Linked DNA regions of Mus musculus: regions 1 and 2 are each reported to be linked to region 3. The links are microRNA targets in miRTarBase. Many come from high-throughput screens and were not tested one by one. Region 3 holds a microRNA gene; each other region holds the end of a gene's coding sequence.

What was found. The annotated mature microRNA mmu-miR-337-3p reads UCAGCUCCUAUAUGAUGCCUUU and lies in region 3 at 3,173-3,194, opposite strand. An mRNA with a match to its seed (bases 2 to 7 or 8) in the 3' UTR can be bound and repressed. Matches are read on the target gene's strand: a 7mer-m8 pairs with bases 2 to 8, a 7mer-A1 pairs with bases 2 to 7 and ends in A, and an 8mer does both.
Region 1: the mRNA of Fam83e is a reported target of mmu-miR-337-3p. The part of its 3' UTR that is shown has no 7-base or 8-base seed match.
Region 2: miRTarBase lists Utp23 as a target of mmu-miR-337-3p. Seed matches in the 3' UTR shown: 8mer at 2,157-2,164.

The regions. Positions count from the first base shown.
Region 1 is chr7:45,726,732-45,732,643 of GRCm38, forward strand. Fam83e (family with sequence similarity 83, member E) reads left to right here. Exons shown (of 5, transcript NM_001033170.4): 4 at 1-345; 5 at 2,035-2,761. The coding sequence ends at 2,268. Sult2b1 (sulfotransferase family, cytosolic, 2B, member 1) reads right to left here. Exons shown (of 6, transcript NM_001360784.1): 5 at 4,507-4,687; 6 at 3,252-3,468. The coding sequence ends at 3,269. Among named protein-coding and RNA genes, the nearest start is that of Spaca4, 3.9 kb to the left of the region's middle.
Region 2 is chr15:51,881,216-51,887,127 of GRCm38, forward strand. Utp23 (UTP23 small subunit processome component) reads left to right here. Exons shown (of 3, transcript NM_030132.5): 3 at 936-3,407. The coding sequence ends at 1,322. Gm34678 (a long non-coding RNA gene) reads right to left here. Exons shown (of 6, transcript XR_003951502.1): 6 at 3,058-3,070. Among named protein-coding and RNA genes, the nearest start is that of Utp23, 6.7 kb to the left of the region's middle.
Region 3 is chr12:109,583,132-109,589,043 of GRCm38, reverse strand. It overlaps Mir337 (microRNA 337), which reads right to left and starts at 3,255; the gene lies at 3,159-3,255. It overlaps Mir3544 (microRNA 3544), which reads left to right and starts at 3,171; the gene lies at 3,171-3,231. Mir540 (microRNA 540) reads right to left here and starts at 2,964; the gene lies at 2,898-2,964. Mir665 (microRNA 665) reads right to left here and starts at 2,730; the gene lies at 2,637-2,730. It also overlaps Mir3070a, Mir3070b and a transcript of Rtl1 not described here.

The sequences.
Region 1 (5,912 bases), not on the chromosome of region 3:
GCCTCCAGGCCGCTCTCTGCAGCTCCGGCTCGAAGCCCTTTGTTCAGTCCTCCTGAGGGCCCACAGCTGCCCCGAAGCCCACACCGTGTGGCCCTGCGCTGTCCTGTGGCCCCTGTAGCCCCATTGCTGTCTGATGGGCCTTTGGCTCAACGCCTGGCTGCCTGTCACATCCTCGAGCGGGACAAACAGGAGACCCCCACCACCACGGGGCCAGCTCTCAGTGACATCTTGAGGAGTGTACAGCGCACCAGGACAACCAGTGGTCCCCCGACCCGACCCAGCCGCTCCCTATGGGACCTTAGCCGCCTGTCCCAGCTCTCTGGCTCAAGTGATGGTGAAAATGAGGTGAGACCCCCCTGCTGAGGACTGAGACACAGAAGCCAAGAGATAGGGGGCCCTGCTGGGACACCAGAAGCAGGAAACACTTGTCATTTTGAAAGAGAGTTGTAGAGCTGAGGCTGGCCTTAAACTGATTCTCCTGCCTCCACGTTCCTTGTATTGGGATGACAGGCATGCACCACCATGCCTAAGTTGGTTAAACTTAACCTACCTATTTCACAGATGGGGAAACTGAGGCACCTGAGAGGAGTTGGAACTTAGCTCTGACTGTTTCCCCAAAGGACTTGTTGACATCCTACATCTGACTGTCCTGAGGGTGTTGGGGAAATGGAGGGGGTGGGGGTGAGGGGAACTGAGAATCCCTCTGCATTTTTATGGAGAATGAGGGTATGGCTGAGCCCAGTTTAGCTGCTTGGATAGTCCTGGGCCAGAAATGGCTGTCTGTGAGCCTCAGTTTCTCTCTGTGTGAGTCATGTTGTTGCATGAGAAGATGCAGAGCCGCGTGGGAGAGTCAAGTAGCCTCACCCAGGATGCAGGCCGAGGGAGTTATGTCCCTCAGTGAGCTAACCCAGGCCGAGGGAGTTATGTCCCTCAGTGAGCTAACCCTTTCTGGCTTCAGCCTTCCAATCTGTTCCCTGGTAACTGGAGCAGAGTCATTTCTGTCAGCTTTGTCTATGAAGTTAGACCTAAAGGAAAAGGAGTGGAGTGGCCAGGTCAAGGTCCTTGCCTCGCCTCCATCTGGGGTTCTCCTCCCTTGGCAAATATTTGTTCCCCTGGATGGCCACAGCTGCTTCCTGCTCTTCCCCAGCTCCACGGCAAGAGGAAAGGCATCCCATGTAGGTCTGGGGTTCCAGGCTCCCCACTTATGTCCCCCAGGCTCTGGAGGCTTCCTTTCATCTTCCTCATCTCCTCTACTGGCATCTCTCCCTCCTCCCTCTACCTGTCCTCCCTCCTCCCCTTCCCTCTCTTCCATCTCCTTCCAAGTACCTTCCATCCACCTCTTCCCTTACCTTCTCCCTCCTCCACCTCTAACTCCTCCCTCCTCCACCTCTAACTCCTCCCTCCTCCACCTCTAACTCCTCCCTCCTCCACCTCTAACTCCTCCCTCCTCCACCTCTAACTCCTATGTCTCTCCCTCCAAATCATCTTCCCCTCCCTTATTTCTTCCTTGTCTCTCACCCTTTGTCCCTTTTCCCTTGTCTCTGGGCCCCAAGATATTCTCTCCTCCTCTTGTGTATGTGTGTCCCTGTGTATGTAGGAGTGTTTGCTGGTGTGTGCCTATTGAGGTCAGATGTCACTCCCGGGGGGTCTTCCTGTCACTCTCCACCTTACCGTTTAAGACATGTCTCTCACTGTTCTTGGAGCTGGCTGTTGCTGATAGCCTGGCTGCCAGGCAGCCTCGGAGCCTCGGGATCCATCTGTCCCTGTCTTCCAGCACTAAGGTTACAGATTCTTATTGATGGTCTCAACATTCTTTCCCCCTTATTTTGAGATGGGGTTTTATGTGGTCCAGGCTGGTCTTAAGCTTCTGATCCTCCTGCTGCCGTGCCACCTCCTCAGTGTCCATCATAACTGGTCTATATCATGCTGAGGCTCAACCCCAGGGCCTTTAGCATGTGATGCCAGCACCCCACCAGCTCAGCCCCAGCAACTACTCACCTTCTTTTTTTTTTTTTTTTTTTTTTTTCTTTACAGTCCAAGAAGTTCTGGGTCTCCAAGGACACTCCAGCCAGGGCCCTGATGAGGCAGCGGGGCACTGGAGGTGGGCCCAGAGCTGAGATGGATTCCCGTTCACAGCCCTGGGGTGGCCCCCTACCCTCGATTCCAGCCCGCCGCCTGCGTTACCTATCCCCAGCCCAAAGGAGATTGGGGGACAATGCCACCACATCAGACTGGGCCTCTGGCTCAGGCTCTGGAAGGAGACGCTGACAGGAACCCTGGCCAGATGTGGCTGGCCAGCCATGGGTCTAGTTTAGAGCTCTAACCAGACATTGGCTGTATGTGAGGCCTGTAGTCTAGGATCTTGGCAGCAGAAGGGACTGGTCTTAATTGCTCTAGAATTGGGTGAGCTCACTAAGAGCTTGGTGTTGCCATCTGGGAAATGGGCAGAGAGGTCCAGAGCAGCAGACAGGACTGCTGCAGAGACAGGCTCAGCTGCCTCACCATGTACTATATAAAGAGATAGTGGGGCAACCCCACGACAGAGAAGACATAGATAAAGTTGAGTCCAGGAGAGGAGAATTAATGGGGGTAGAGGTTGGGGCGGGGGGTGATGGGCAAAGCTGAAAAAAAAAAACAAAGGTCTGGAAAGTACCGGGGATACTGAGACACTGGACAATGTCTGGAGTTTTCTGTGGGAGCTAAGGGAAGGCTTCAGAGCATGTCCCTGTATTCTACTCGGATTAAACTCCAACAGCACAGACACGCGTCTCCATGGCCTTCCTGCCCCATCCCCTCCTGCTCCAGAGTCCAGCCTCCAGCATCCCCCCTAGCTCTTCTTCAGACCCAGGGTTCCCCTCAGGTCTAGGGGTGCAGGCCTATGGGACAGTGGAGCTGGCATCCTGACTTCAAGCTCAGTGCTGGGCTCCTGGCCCCTTGTATCTTGTGTTATTGCTATGATACCCTGGCCCCTCCCCTTGTATCTCATGTTGTTGCTATGATACTCACTGAGGAGCCCAGGCTAGATGTAAACTTGCAATCCCACTGCCTCCACCTCCCAAGCATGGGGTGATTGTCGAGTCACACTGCCTTCTGCAGCATGCACACATTCTGTCTGTGTGGTGTGTGGCGCATTCTGTCTGTGTGGTGTGTGGCTGGCCACTCTGCCTGCCTGCCTGCACCCCCTGCCTGCCTGCACCCCCTGCTTGCCTGCACCCCCTGCTTGCCCCGGAAAGTCAGCACAGAGGAGGGAGTGGTTGGAGTGATAAGTTTATTGTGAGGATCCTGGGTTGGGGTCATCAGAAGCTGGGCTGGGGCTGGGCTCAGGGTCAGGCTGGCCATCAGGGCTGCTATCCTCTTCAGACGTGTCCCAGGGGAACCTCTGCACCCCGTGCATTTGCTCTCGGTAAACACTGTCAAAAGCCTCACTCTGGGCCACAGTGAAGTGGTTCTTCCAGTCGCCACTGATCCCTGGAGGGGACAGAGGAAGAGCCCAGTAAGGAGCTGTTGGGGTACCCCCTTGCTCCCGTCTCAGCCTTGTTGGATGTCCCCTCAGCCTCCCTCACCATGACCAACCACGCCGCCTGTGTCAGCTGGCCAGAGCCTCCTAGGCATACTGCTTCTTTCCCTTACACCTAGGTGACCCCACACCAGCCCTGTCCTTTGACCTCTGACCTCCCAGATATCTTCTCACAACTCACCTCCCTCTTGGCACCCAAACACCCCTTTGACAACCTGCATCACTTCCTCTGGGACATGTCTCTGCCAGCACAAGGCTCTCTCCCCCTCGTTCCCCTCAGATACCCAACATGGCCTCAACATTCTTCCGACTTGATGGCTGGTCCACCCCAGCCAGGCAATCTAGAGGCTTCACATGAATGGGCCAGTCTGAGGTCCTCACAGCCAGTGAGCTGTCTCAGCAAGGCACTCCACAAGCATGCAGTCCTGAGTACTGGTCCCTCAGACTACTAGGGGTCCACCTCTTGCCCGTGTGGAAAATGCTCTTTAGAATAGCTTGTTAGATTTTGGTTACATGCTGTGTCACCTCTTGTGAGCTCAGGGGCCTCCCTGAGGGATTCCCAAGTCTTGGAATTTAGAACATGAAACCACATGGCGGAAGGATCTGTAGAGAGGGGGTTGACCTGAGTCACCCGGGGATCCTGTGCTGTAGCAGCTCTGCTTTGTCTCGAGACAGACAGCCTCTCTAGCATCGCGGGCTGACCTGAGTCTAGCTGGTTTGAGAGGCAAGCACCACCACACTGAATTACTCTGCACTGAGTGTTAACTAATAAAAAGGTTCCTGGGGACTTTACACTCATGTTGTTAGAGCCCCTGCTTTGGCCTCACTTTGTCCCAGGGAGAGGCCCAGATGGAGGCAGGTCAGCGGGCGGTGCCAGACCTCCTGCTGAGAGTGAAGACACGTCTAGGGTGGCTCTCACATTCCACAGGCCTTCTGGGAAAATGGAGGCCCAGAAAGCCATGCAATTGGCTAGAAGCACCCAGGGGTACCTTTGCGCAGGAACTCCCCCTGGCGGTGGTCCAGCAGGCTGGCCGGCAGCAGCGAGTAGTTGGACATGGTATTGGCCTTCATGGCAGCAAAGGCTGAGTGGGCCACCACAGAGCTCAGGGCCTCTTCACCCAGTGGCCGGCCCAGGAACTCACAGATGCGTTGCACGGAGCCTCGCAGGTCCTGGGGTAGGGAGAGGAGGCGTCAGTGGAGTGGGGACCACTTTGTTTGGCCTGGAGTGGTTCCTGACTCTCTGCCTCAGTTTCCCCATCTCCCTGTTCTCCAGGGTTCTATAGGGTTCTGAAGGAGGCAGGGGAGTGTAGGTTGACAGAAATCAGCTCAGCAACTTACAGAGATTGCTGCTGTGTGTCGGGAGCAGAAGCTGTAGGTGGGGCTACTCTGCTCCTCCCTGGTTGCCCAGTGCTGGTCTCTGGAGCCTAGCCTTCCCTGTCTGCCTCAGCCCAGATGCCAGTCTGCCATCATCCTTGTCCTTCCTGCCTGCCTGTCTTGTGCATATACTCATCTCTGTGTCCCCAACATTCCCACCCTGGTCCACCAGACAGACCATCTTCCCCCTTGCCAGACCCTCACCTCTGGAGCCCCTTCCCCAGCCTGTCTGTCTCTGGCCTCCTTCCCCGTCAGTTCCATTGATCCAGTGGCCTCCCAGGACATAGGACAGAGCCTCCTCCCCGCAAACCTGACTTTCAAGAATAATTTGGTGTGAACCCCTTCTTCCCATACCATTGTTCCCACACCCTCCTCCCTCGGATCTTGGCACAAGATTTCTCTCGATTTGCCCTTTGTCACTGATAAACTCAATTGGCGCTTTCCTCACAATACTTGGCTCACAAGTCTCTGGGCCTAAGCCCTCATTCACATTTGTGCTGATCGGCCTTGGAAGAAACATCACACCCTAGTCAGCAAACAGAGGTCCAGAGATAGCAAGGTACTTGGTCAAAGCTTAATAGCCTGGAAGCTCAGACCCAGACTCCCGATCCCCACAGGTCCCCTCAACCTCACAGCATCTATGGCATCCAGCGCCCTGCATGGCTGGTCACGGCTCGGCCCCACAACCTGCCTTTCCAGGACATTCCTGGTTTCATAACCCTTTATTCTCTGAGCCGCCGGCCTGTCCCAGAAACACACATGTGGGCGGTGCCTCACACCCCAGGAGTGGCCCAGAAGCTGTGCTAGGCTCCATGGCCCAGTTTTTGGAGGTTTGGAGATAAAACCTGAGGAAATGTAGGGAGGGAGACATGGTGCTGAAGCCTTTTCCAGAACTTGCCACCAGAAGAAAGGTATCAGGATAGACTATGGGGCAGCAGGGAATTGCTGTGTGTCTTAGGCAAACACCCGATCCACTCTAGAGCACGAAAGGTCCACTTTCCTCCCCTGAACATTGCTGATA
Region 2 (5,912 bases), not on the chromosome of region 3:
GCAGTTTTAACTACCTCTATATATACTTCATGCAGCTCTGTTTGCAGTACAAAGAAAAGTAAGTGGGAGAGATAATGTAGTGTTTGAAGTTCTATTTATTTACTTACTGTGGTGTATTAGAGAGGATTCCAGTCACTTAGCTAATTCATGTTTCATTGTTTGGACTTTTAAAAATGTACATTTTAAAATGGGATCAATAAAGGTACTTACTTGAACATATGAGGAGGAGACTAAGTTTGGGGGACTTTTTTTCCTTCAGAAGTTTCCTTCTAGAGGCTGAGGAGCTGTTGCAGTAGTGTGCTGATTGCGTCACGGTTCTTCAAGCAGGGAGGAGTCGGGCAGTCTCTGCCTTCTGGACTCATAACCTAGCATGTTCCTGAATTCCTGCTTCTCAGCTCATGGTGCATGTGCTCTGAGATTAGCATCAGGAGGCTGCAGAGATGGCTCAGGGGTTAAGAGCTGGCTGCTCTTGGTTTAATTCCCAACACCTATACAGCTGCTCTCAACCATGTGTACCTACAGTCTCAAGGAACCCACCGCCATCTTACGGCCACCTAGGCACACATGAGGTATACAGATATGATTGTGGAGTCAGCTTATTACTCTGCTCCAACCTCTTCCCTTGTCGATGTTTCGAGAGAATATCTAGTGGAAAGGCAAGAGAAAGTTTCTAATGTATTTTCTGTTGCATTGGTTGATAATTCGTGGGCCCAGAGTGTTGACTGATCCAGCCCCGACTGCTGTTGAGTGGCTTCATTCTGCTTAGTCTTTATGTTTTCTGTCCTCTACCGTAAGATACATTTTGATTAATAAGACATGTCATCTGAAAAAGAAAACATATAGTTCTTTTTTTCCCCATCTAGCCTTTTTTAATAGAAACTTAATTTTAGGTTCTAATTTTGATTGAGAAACCAAACCCCTTTCCTTTTTAATAGGATCAGAACTTATCTGTGAAAGTCAAGAGGACTCCTGGAATTCCTCTCATGTTCATTATTCAGAACACTATAGTGTTGGACAAGCCTTCTCCCAGAACAGTGGCCTTTGTGAAGGCGGTCGAGGCGGGTCAGCTGGTCTCAGTGCACGAGAAACAGAGTATCAAGCAACTGAAGGAGGAGCAAGGCCTGGTGCGGAACCCGGACCTGAGGAGGAGGAGGAGGAAAAAGAAGAAGGTGGGCGGCCCCAATCCTCTCAGCTGCCTGAAGAAAAAGAAGAAAGCACAGGATACAAAGTCCCCTGCTTCCGAAAAGAAAAGGAAAAGGAAACGGATTCGGAACAGATCCACCCTGAAAGTGTCTTCTGAGCAGCAGGGTGCAGAAGGCTGATGTGTGCTGGGGATACTCTGGAAGACAGTGGAAACTAACTTCCTGTTCAAACTGTGAAAATGTGTATACCAGAGGACTAACTTATTTTTGTAAACTACTACTGCTACATACACTTTTGCCAAAAGTAAAGAATAGTTGGGTTTGTCAGTGTGCATCTTCAGTTGTTGCTTTGGGGATGTATTTTTATTATAAAATTATCTCCAGTTTCTCCCCTTCTCACCCTCCAAGTGCTGTGTATGTGTGTGGTATATGAGTGGTATGTGTTTGTGAGCCTCTCTCTCTCTCTCTCTCTCTCTCTCTCTCTCTGTGTGTGTAGGTGCAGTAGTGTTTGTGAGCTTGTTGGGCGGTGGGGGGGGGGGGTGAGCGTGTGTATGAAGCAGCTAGAGGTCAGCATGAAGTGTCTTTCTCTATCACTCTCTACCATTATTTTTTGAGAGAGTTTCTCACTGAATCAATAACTTGCCAGTTAAGTGGTCCTGGATGGCCGTTAAGCCCCAGAGATCCTCCTGTCTCCTTTCTGGTGCTGGGATTGACAGCATTCACTGTTGAATGTGGCTTTCTGTATGAGTCTGAGGATCTGAACCCAACTCCTCACAGTAGTACGGCAGGTAAGGTCCTGACTGAGGCATCACCCCAGCACCACATAATTTTAAAAGTCAGTCCTAAGGCCAGTGAGATGACTCAGTGGGTGTCTTAGTCAGGGTTTCTATTCCTGCACAAACATCATGACCAAGAAGCAAGTTGGGGAGGAAAGGGTTTATTCTGCTTACACTTCCACATTGCTGTTCATCACCAAAGGAAATCAGGACTGGAACTCAAGCAGGTCAGGAAGCAGGAGCTGATGCAGAGGCCATGGAGGGATGTTCTTTACTGACTTGCCTCCCCTGGCTTGCTCAACTTGCTCTCTTATAGAACCCAAGACTACCAGCCCAGGGATGGCACAACCCACAAGGGGCCTTTCCCCCTTGATCACTAATTGAGAAAATGCCTTGCAGTTGGATCTCTTGGAGGCATTTCCTCAACTGAAGCTCCTTTCTCTGTGATAACTCCAGCCTGTGTCAAGTTGACACACAAAACCAGCCGGTACAGTGGGTAAAGACGCCTGCTGCCTACCTTGATAACTGAACCTCGTCCCTGAGACCTAGAGACCAGACCTGACTCCCAAAATTGTCTTCTTACCTCCACACCTCCACGCAAAACAAATTAATGTCATTTGTAAAAGTCAGTTCTAAGGGAGGAAAGGGGGATAGCTTACCCATTATTTTGTATATGGCAATAAAATCTGTAAGAGCTTAAGATAAAAGTTGTATCTTTGACAGTTGGAGAAACCTCCACATTCAACTAACTGTTGAATACAATGCTACCGTCTGCTCTCAATAGCCTGGAAAGGATGGCTATAGCACCTTACATTTTCCTAATAAACAAGTGTTGTAGTATTTATTGGTCATAAACTCGTTTTTAGCATTGTGCATGGCTGAGCAAGGTGACATGTAGTGTGGCTAAATTTATTACATTGCTCTTCCTGAAACTAATAGCGTTGGGCTTCTTCATTGCCCAGTAACATGGCATATAGTTACACTCATCCAATAGTTTGAAGTCATTTTTACCATGCAATACTTAGCTGGGTTCTCCTGATGTCCTCCAGTGTGGCTGTGCTTTCTGCTGAGCATGCTACTCAGATATTGTTAGGTACTGTCCTCTGGAGAACTGTCATGGTAGGCTTTTTTTCTTCTTCTTGTATTCCCTTGCTGTAATAAAGCACAAAGCAAGTAAGAAATCCATATTTGAGAGTATCTACTGCCTTTATTACAAACTACATGAGTCCTAGCTGAAGTTCACTTCAATTTTCTTAAATCTTGTTTATTTATTGTCCTAAGGAAAACATTCCATTTTTAAGCCCCACAGGTTCAATAATGTGTTGATTTTTGTTTCTGATAGCTGATCTGAATACTATCCCTCAATGGCAAGAATTCTAAAATAATGTTCTACTGGGTATTCTGATAAAGTGTCCAAATTATTTGATTCAATTAGAAAATTGAATGTCTAGGTTTATGTAAAATAAAATGGTTGTGATTTGACAAGTTTAATAATAGTTTTTCATGTGTAAGTAGAAAGAAATGTTTAAAATCTTTAAAATAGGCCATTTTATTATACAAAAATCCTTACAACTTTTAGTTTAGATGTAAATGAAGGGCCAGAAGGATGGCTGCACCCATCCAAAACTATGAAAATGCCCCAGCCCACTCCACAGAGAAGGGGAAGGGTGCTGAGGGGCCATTCCTGGTACCGTAAGCCCTGGGCAGTCAGGCCATGTGGAGAGCTTATTATGGTTAAACTGATATTGATGGTTCTCTAAGTTGACATTGCATCAAACAACCTTTTACTATCTACACTTATACCCACAAACAAAAGGTTCCCAGCCATAATATGAGAATCCTCTCTCAGCAATGAGTGGTGCTGAATACAGAGTCCTGCCTCCCCATGACGCAGCTGTGACAGTTCTGACCCACAGCCCTAAACAAGACAATTATCCCACCCCTCGAAGGCTCAAGAAGCCTTACAGAAGTGAACTAAGAACCAGAAGATGGGATGAGGGATTGCAAAACGCTGTTTTCTAGACTAGATGCAATCACTGAAATTATTAACTCCAATCTTGTTACCTGCCCTGGACCCATCTAACATAGGCCTCATTAATAGTCAAGGTGGGGGAAGGGGCTCAAGGGGCCCTACCATTTACTTCTGAACCATTTGCGACTGGTAGATTCTGAGAGGGGGGGGGGGGAAGCACTGTCTCTCGCTGTGTACCCACTGCTGAGCCCACCATGCTCTATTGCAGAGCTTCAAAAGCATGGTCACCTAGACAGCACTGGTCACAGTGAGAGATCAGGGGGAAAGGAGAGGCCGTGCAGGACAGAAGGCGAGAGTGGCCACTATCTATTTTGAATGTATAAAATTGTCTAAGAACAATTTCAATTGATTTAAGAAAAAGTACTGGCTAATTGCAATACATCTATCAGGTGGGTTTCAGAGTACCCAGCTGGTAACGTTGACTTAGAACTTTTAAAATACTGCCACCCATGTACTACTTCATTAGAGGAACATGAGAATTTTCCACTAGGAGGGTTGGAAATGACTACAGCAGCACCCACCAAAATTGTGAAGTGAAAGGTCTATGCCAAGTTACACATTTCCACTTCCTTATGTAAGGTCTTACCTGCTTTTCCTATACAACGGGTAAATCTGCCACTTAGAAAAGATGCCTGTGGCCAGGATGACTTACACCAGTATTTACTAGCTTAGCTGAAATCTAGGCGTTGCTACGCTTCTTAAATAATTCTTGAACAAGTACTTAGTGTAAACCATAAAATTTAGGTTTTAAATTTACTCTTTAAAAGACTTTGTGGTTTACTAGAATATAGCAACAAGACCAGGCCTAAGAAGATGCTTGGTGGTGGAGTGCTCATTATGAGAAAAGAATTCATCTCCTGCACCACAAACACACACATGAAGAAACACATGAAACAGAATGAAATTCTTGTTACTTAAAAAAATGCTGGGGGCTGGCGAGATGGCTCAGTGGTTAAGAGCGCCACCTGCTCTTCCGAAGGTCCCGAGTTCAAATCCCAGCAACCAAATGGTGGCTCACAACCATCCGTAACGAAATCTGATGCCCTCTTCTGGAGTATCTGAGGACAGCTACAGTGTACTTAAATATAATAAATAAATAAATCTTTTAAAAAATGCAACAAATATTTCTTAACACTAGACACTATGTTATTAAGCAGATTTTTAACTAGTATTGGACAAAAAGAAATGGTAAGAGTGCTTACTATAACTGTCATTGCTTAAACTCCAAATACCACTTAGTCTACATTTCAGTTTTATTGTTTGGACCCAATTACTAGTCTCCCTTCCACATTGGGAGTTATTGTGATTAGATGATAAACAAATCAAGTTTCCAGGCCAGAAAGCACAGTAGACTTGTGAACTCACTGGTATTTCCCTTGAGCTTCTGACACACTTAGAGACTGCATGTATGGTCATTTTGTCTCTGACATCTAGACAACAGGTTATTAGGGTAGGAAAAGTCAAGCAGAAGCTGTCGGGCTTTCTTCTAGTAGGAAATTAAATCCAAAGCTAGGCCCTCATGGGCAGAGTTGCGGAGATCACTGCCATCATTCCGTGCTTGAGCAAGGCAGACATGCTGACTTCATGAAAGGGACTGAGTTACCAATACCAAGACATTTTAAAGCCGGTCCGATGAAAGTCCCATCTGACACTGCTGTCTTGGCAAACTGAAAAGTACTCTCTCCATCTTTTAATTCCCTTCAAATTTCCTCTTATTTGTGAAGGAGAAAAGGCAAGCAGTAGAATGAGAGGGAACACGTATCTTGTAAAGGACATACGTGGAAAATAGAATAACAGCTAATACTAAAAAGACAACACTGTGCCTAAAATGGGCACAGAATACAAACAGACCCAGTACTAGGAAATCTGCAAATGGCCAATGAGCACAAGCAAGGAAGCTCCATATTATTAGCTGCCAGGGGAATGGAAAGTACACCATGATAATGCATCACATCACCTCAC
Region 3 (5,912 bases):
TTGACTCTCCAGAAACAGCTCATGAAGACATGGAGCAACAGGCCTCCTGTCTTCTCCTAAAGGGAGGGAAGTCAATTCACTCTCAAAACTTTGGGCTCCTCTGGGAAATGGACCAAGGGTTTCATGGGGCAGAAGGAGGGTACCCAGAATTCCCAGCCCTCATCTGGTCCCAGCCCTCTAGTCACATGAGAAATGAGGAATGGCCAGACTGTGCTCAATGCCCACAGCTGAGGAGGGTCAACAGGCAGGATGTTTGAGCTTGGATCCCAGAAAAACAGTTCTTAGAACCCAAGACTGCATCCCTCCACGCCCCCTCCAGCCTGCACTGGGGTCACTGTGCCCTTATGGGTCCTAAGGGGCCTCATGACAAGGAATCTACCCCTGACCATAGCACCAGAAGATCATGGGGAGGATCCCAGGTTCAAGGTCAGGGGCTCAGCCTCACTCAGCACTTCCTCCTGTTGCTAAGGAGGCTCCAGTGGCCCCCCACTGGAACCATTCCCACAGTTGGCCCCTGAGATCCTTGCCTTAAAAAAAGCTATCTTGAGGGATACTCTGGGATGGGGAAGGAGCTCCTAGGGGTAGAGGGAAATTGAGCAAATAGTCCCTTACTCACAAACTCTATACTTCCTACCCAGAAAATCTGCACACAAGCTAGGAGTATAAAAACAAGGGCCCCCTCCCACTGTGACCTCAAAGATAGTGGGCAGGTGCAATGAGCAGGGCCCTCACGCCCAAGGGCCCTTTCTTAACTCTGCCCTTTATATCTTGCCTGGAAATGTACCCCTGAGTTAACCTCAAGGGGCCCTCTTTGGCCTGAGAATGTGTCAGACCCCTGGATACCCAGCATGACACCTCCCCCTACCTGCTTTCAGCTCTTTGATCCCATCTATACAGGATCTATAAGCTTGGGTCCCAGAAAAACCCTACTTAGAACGCAAGATTGCATCCCTCCACGCCCCCTCCAGCCTGCACTGGGGTCACTGTGTCCTTATGGGTCCTAAGGGGCCTCATGACAAGGAATCTACCCCTGACGGTAGCACCAGGAGATCATGGATAGGATCCCAGGTTCAAGGTCAGGGGCTCAGCCTCACTCAGCACTTCCTCCTGTTCCTAAGGAGCGTCCATAACCTTAAGGTGGGACTGGGGTCCTATTGGAGGAGAACAAACGTACCAGTCCTGTACCCTCACTTAGTTTACCTGGGCACCTCCAACAAAACTGGGCCTCAAAACAAAACAAAACAATCCTGTCCCTGCTTGGTGAGGACTTCTCTGGCCCAGTGAATGCAGAGATGACTTAGGTCAGGACTACTGCCAGGGGCCCCAAGGCCCTGAGGGCCCCAAGCAAGTGAGAGTGAAGGAGAACTCAGTGAGCCAGCAGCCCGCCAAGAGGCTGCCAGTGATGTTGACTGCAGAGGTGCGTTTACCCACAGCCCGCACGAACACAGACCATAAAGGACAATAAAGGCCCGCAGGCCTACCAATCTACCCAGCAGGGATTTGTCCCCATTAACAGCAAAAGGAGGTGGTCCGGACTGTGAAGAGAGCTGGTGACGTGCTAAAACGTGCTAAAACGGTAGGTTATCAGGTTATCGGCGGAGCCACTTATAGAGATTGAAAAACACAACACAAACCTTTTTTTTTCTCCTGGGGAAGAGAAAAGAAAAGAAAGAAATTGGTGTGAAAGTTCCTGCTAGGGGATGATAACATCACTTCCAACCCTGTCAAGGTGAAAACCAGAGGCCAGGCCCTGGCTGCAGACTCCACCCACCAAGGAGCTGCCCCCACTTCCCAGCTTCAGTCCCCAACCAGAGAGCTCTGACAGCATCCAGGAACAAAGAGGAGCAGGGGCCCTCCCTTGCCCACCTTCCCTGTCCTCTCCATTGCTTCCCCTTATAAGATGTCCCTGCAGGTACCAGAGCCAGTGACAGCACACACACAGGACCCTGAGTCCAGAGTTTTACCAGCTCCTCACCAGGCTGGAGCAGAGATCTCCACATGCCTGGGTAACCTGGGCTAACTTGGGCTACCCCCATAGTAAGAAAAGGAAAAGAAAATATTACCCACCCCTCAACTGTCCCATACACCTTAAGCCCTGGTGCTGGGCCCAGGGGACCACATCGTTAGACACGATCTGAGACCTGAGCAGCAAACCTCATCTGGACTTTGATCCACCTGTGTGAGCTGAGAGACACGCATGACCATCTTGCCACCAAGACCGTGCAGGAGCACAAGTAGGAAGAAGGAGATTGGGGGCAGAGGGGGGGACAGGGAAGGGAGAGACAGTGGTGAAGGGGAGGGGGACTGGGTGTGGCCTGGGTCCTCCCTGTCCTGCCCTCAAATCCTTTCACAGCTTCCAGGCTATTCACTCAGGGTGCTCCTGTGTGCCGGGGCTGGCTGCCATAGCTGGTAAATGCAGTTAATAATGGTGGTGTTGTGGGGATGGAGATGGGCCCTGTATGCATGCAATGACCTAGGTATTGGGGTTCAGACTCTACGCCAGCTGCTCATTGTGCTACTGAAGTGTCTGTGGGCACCCGGCCTGGGAGGAGGATGAACAGGGATCTTCTGCACTCCTTAGGGGATCCAGAGTTTGAACTGAATGAGGTGAGACGTCTCCAGAAGGGCTCAAGGAGAGAGTAAGAGGCCGCCTGTAAGGGACCTCAGCCTCCTGGTCATAAAAACATAATCCTGGATAGAGGCAGAGGCCCCTCAAGGAGACCCTGTTCTGGGAGCACTGGTAATGCTCAGCCCTGCCCTGTCTCAGCCCTGTGCCCTGCTCTAGTAACAAAGACCCCATCTCTCAAGGATCCACCCTTTCTGCTAGGAGCTGGGTCCCCTCAGAGGACCTCCAGGAGAGAACGGCTCCTGGAATCCCAGTGGGAGGAGCCCCAGAGTAGGCCCAGGATCGACCTCTGACCTGTCTACCCTTGGCCACAGAGTCAGAGGGTGACCCTTGGCCCAGCCCCAGGGAATGTCCCACCAGGGGTATAGCTCCCCCGCCAAGGAATGATCTCAGGTATGGCCCAGCCCCGGGTATTCCCCTCCAGGAACTGTGGAGAATGGCGAGAAAGCATGCCAGGGGAAAAGAGCGAGCTGAAGACGCGTCCCTAAGCGGCCCAAGGTGCGCGGAGGAGGGTCCGGAGGCCTCACGCGGTTGAAGGGGGTGAAGAAAGGCATCATATAGGAGCTGAATGGCTGTGCAATCAACTCCTGCATGACGCCGTTCCCACCCCCCAACTTCTCACTACACTGGGACCCTCCTCTCCTGAAAAAGCAAGGCAAGAAGCACAGACAACAGGTAGGACAGACTCCCAGGGCTTAGTGTTAGAGGAAGGAAACCAAAGGCCAGCCAGCCCTAGGGCACCTGCAGCACAGTGGAAGCATCTACCCTCCTTGCCCAACCTCACTTCTTATAAACTCTCATGGAGTGACTGGAGCCAATCCAGGGGATGAGGAGGGGGGAGAGGGAGCAGAGGGATGGGAGGGAGAGAGGAGGGGCAAGGGAGCACTGAAGGAGGGGTGGGGAAGCGGAGAGGGAAGGAAGGGTGACTGTGGTCACAGGAGTGTCCTGCTAAGGTCCATCCCGAGTATCCAGTGGGTTCCTCTGCAGACCTAGAAGGGACTCATGGGAACCAGCAGGAGCTTAGACGCCCCAGATGGATCCCCCAAAAAGATGCATGGGTTAAAAGCTACTCAGTGTGGTGAGGGGACAAACTGCAGGTACAGCTAACAACCGCTCCCCAGGTTCTTTGAGTGTCAACTTGAGTTACACTCCTCCATGAATAACTAAAAACCACAAACTGCTTTTGCTTGCCTGTTAGTTTTTTTGTTTGTTTGTTTGTTTTTGAAACAGGATCTGTGTAATCCAGAGTGGATCCCGACTTCTCCATCTTCCTGCCTCAGGCTTCCAAGTGTGGCTATGATTGACAGGCCTCTGTCACCATGGCCAGCTTGAATGGCACATGTGTATCACCTTACATATGAATAAAGTAAAAAAAAAAAATCTTTCCTGACTTGTGCTCTTCTCTTCCTTGTCTGGCACACCCACCAACTGCCAACAAACACTTGTCCCAGCATAGTCTCAGAGAGCAGGGTATAAAGAGGTAGTATGGGGGTGGGAGGGAGTAGTAAGGATGGGAGGCCAGAAGACAGGTGAACACAGGTGGGGAAGGGAGGACTCGGTGTTAAGCCAGGGAGGAAGGGAGCTGCACACGACATGTGAATGACAAAGGGTTAAGGCAGCTCAATGCTGTGGTAAGATGCTGCAGATGTCAGTGGGGCAGGGGAGAGAGAGAAGGGGGGCTCAGGGCAGCATGTGGAACACAGCTGCACATCATCCAGGGCAGAAGAGGGTTGCAAAGGGACATGTATGTGTATGGGAGCATAGGGACATGGCTCACGGGAAGCAGGAGGGTCTCAGGGTGACGTATGTCACAAGGGAGAGATGAAGGATATGATATCCCACGCAAAGAGGGGGTCTTCATGTCATAAAGAAAAGAACAGGGACATCCCATGATGCCTACCTACACAGGGGGGTGTCAGTAACATATGGAGAGATTAAGGGATTAAATCTAGCGGATGGGGAGTGGTCCAAGGCTATACATGGGGGAGAGAATCCATGGTACAGGGGAGAAAAAATGTAAATGTGATGTGCAGAGGAGGGGTAACATGACACATAAAAAGAGGAGGGGCTCAGTATGACTCTTGTACAGGAGAGCCTATGACTCCTGAGAAAGAGACTGGGCTGCATGTGGGACATAAGGAGGAGGGGCTCTGATAGAGGAAATAGGGGCTCGGTGTGACATCTGTCAAGGAAAGTGTTCATCACAAGTGGGGAGAAGGACTAGATGTGACACCTATGAGTTGCTTTGTGACCTGGAGGACATGCACGTCACAGTGTGGTATGTGTAGAGGCAGAGCGCTCCATGTCACAAGGCAAGGGGTGGATGTCTCAACGTGCTGCGTGCAGAGGTGGGGCTTCCCAACATGAAGAGAGAGCGAGAGGAGAAGAGTTCCGTGTACCGCATCTGGAGCACCAGCAGGGTTTGTGGTGACTAAAAGGAACGAGGGCTATGGGACACATGATTTAGGGGCCCTCTCACGATGGAGGAGCTCAGAGTCAGGGAGGGGCCTAAGGTGAATGGGGAGTAAGTGGGATGAAGCTCGGGTGCACAGGGCACACGGGTGGGGCTAGGCTAAGCATGACACACGTGGGGAGAGGTGTTCTCTCTCTAGGACACATGGGTAGAACTCAGGTGACCACGACAGGTGTGAGAGGGGGCATACAGAACGTAGGAAGGGTTAGGCTAAGCATGACACATGTAGAGGAATGGTGCTCTTCAGGACATATGGGTGGAGCTAGGCAAAGCGTGCCCCATTATGGAATTTTCTCTTTAAGACACATGGCTGACAATAGCCTAACCCTAACACAGGATGACAAGAGGAGAGGACTCAGTGTGAGGCCAGCAATAAGACATAAGAAATGTTAACACATGAACACAGAGGGTCTTGGAAGTGCAGCCTGATGGGAGGGGTCTGTCCAAGACAAAGCAGGTGTAGTGGGAAACCATGTAAAGATAGGGAAGAGAAACTTACTCTGACCCAGGTAGGGGAGTGGAGCTGAATGTGATACCCGTGGAGAGATGAGACGCAGTGTGACTCAGGACCCTTGTTGTGATTCATGGGTGGTGGGAGGGGCTCTGTGTGTGACATAGGTGTAGAAAGTTTTGACATGTAATGGGGTCTAGATGAGAAACACTTGGAAAAGAGACACAAATGTCTTGTGCGAGGGTAGAGAGCTCATAACTCTGAGTGCCACTGTTGAAAAGGGACTTAGCCTAACACAAAGGAGAATTGAGGAACTGTGGGACACACGGCCAAGGAAAGACTTAGGATAGCACAGTGAGGAC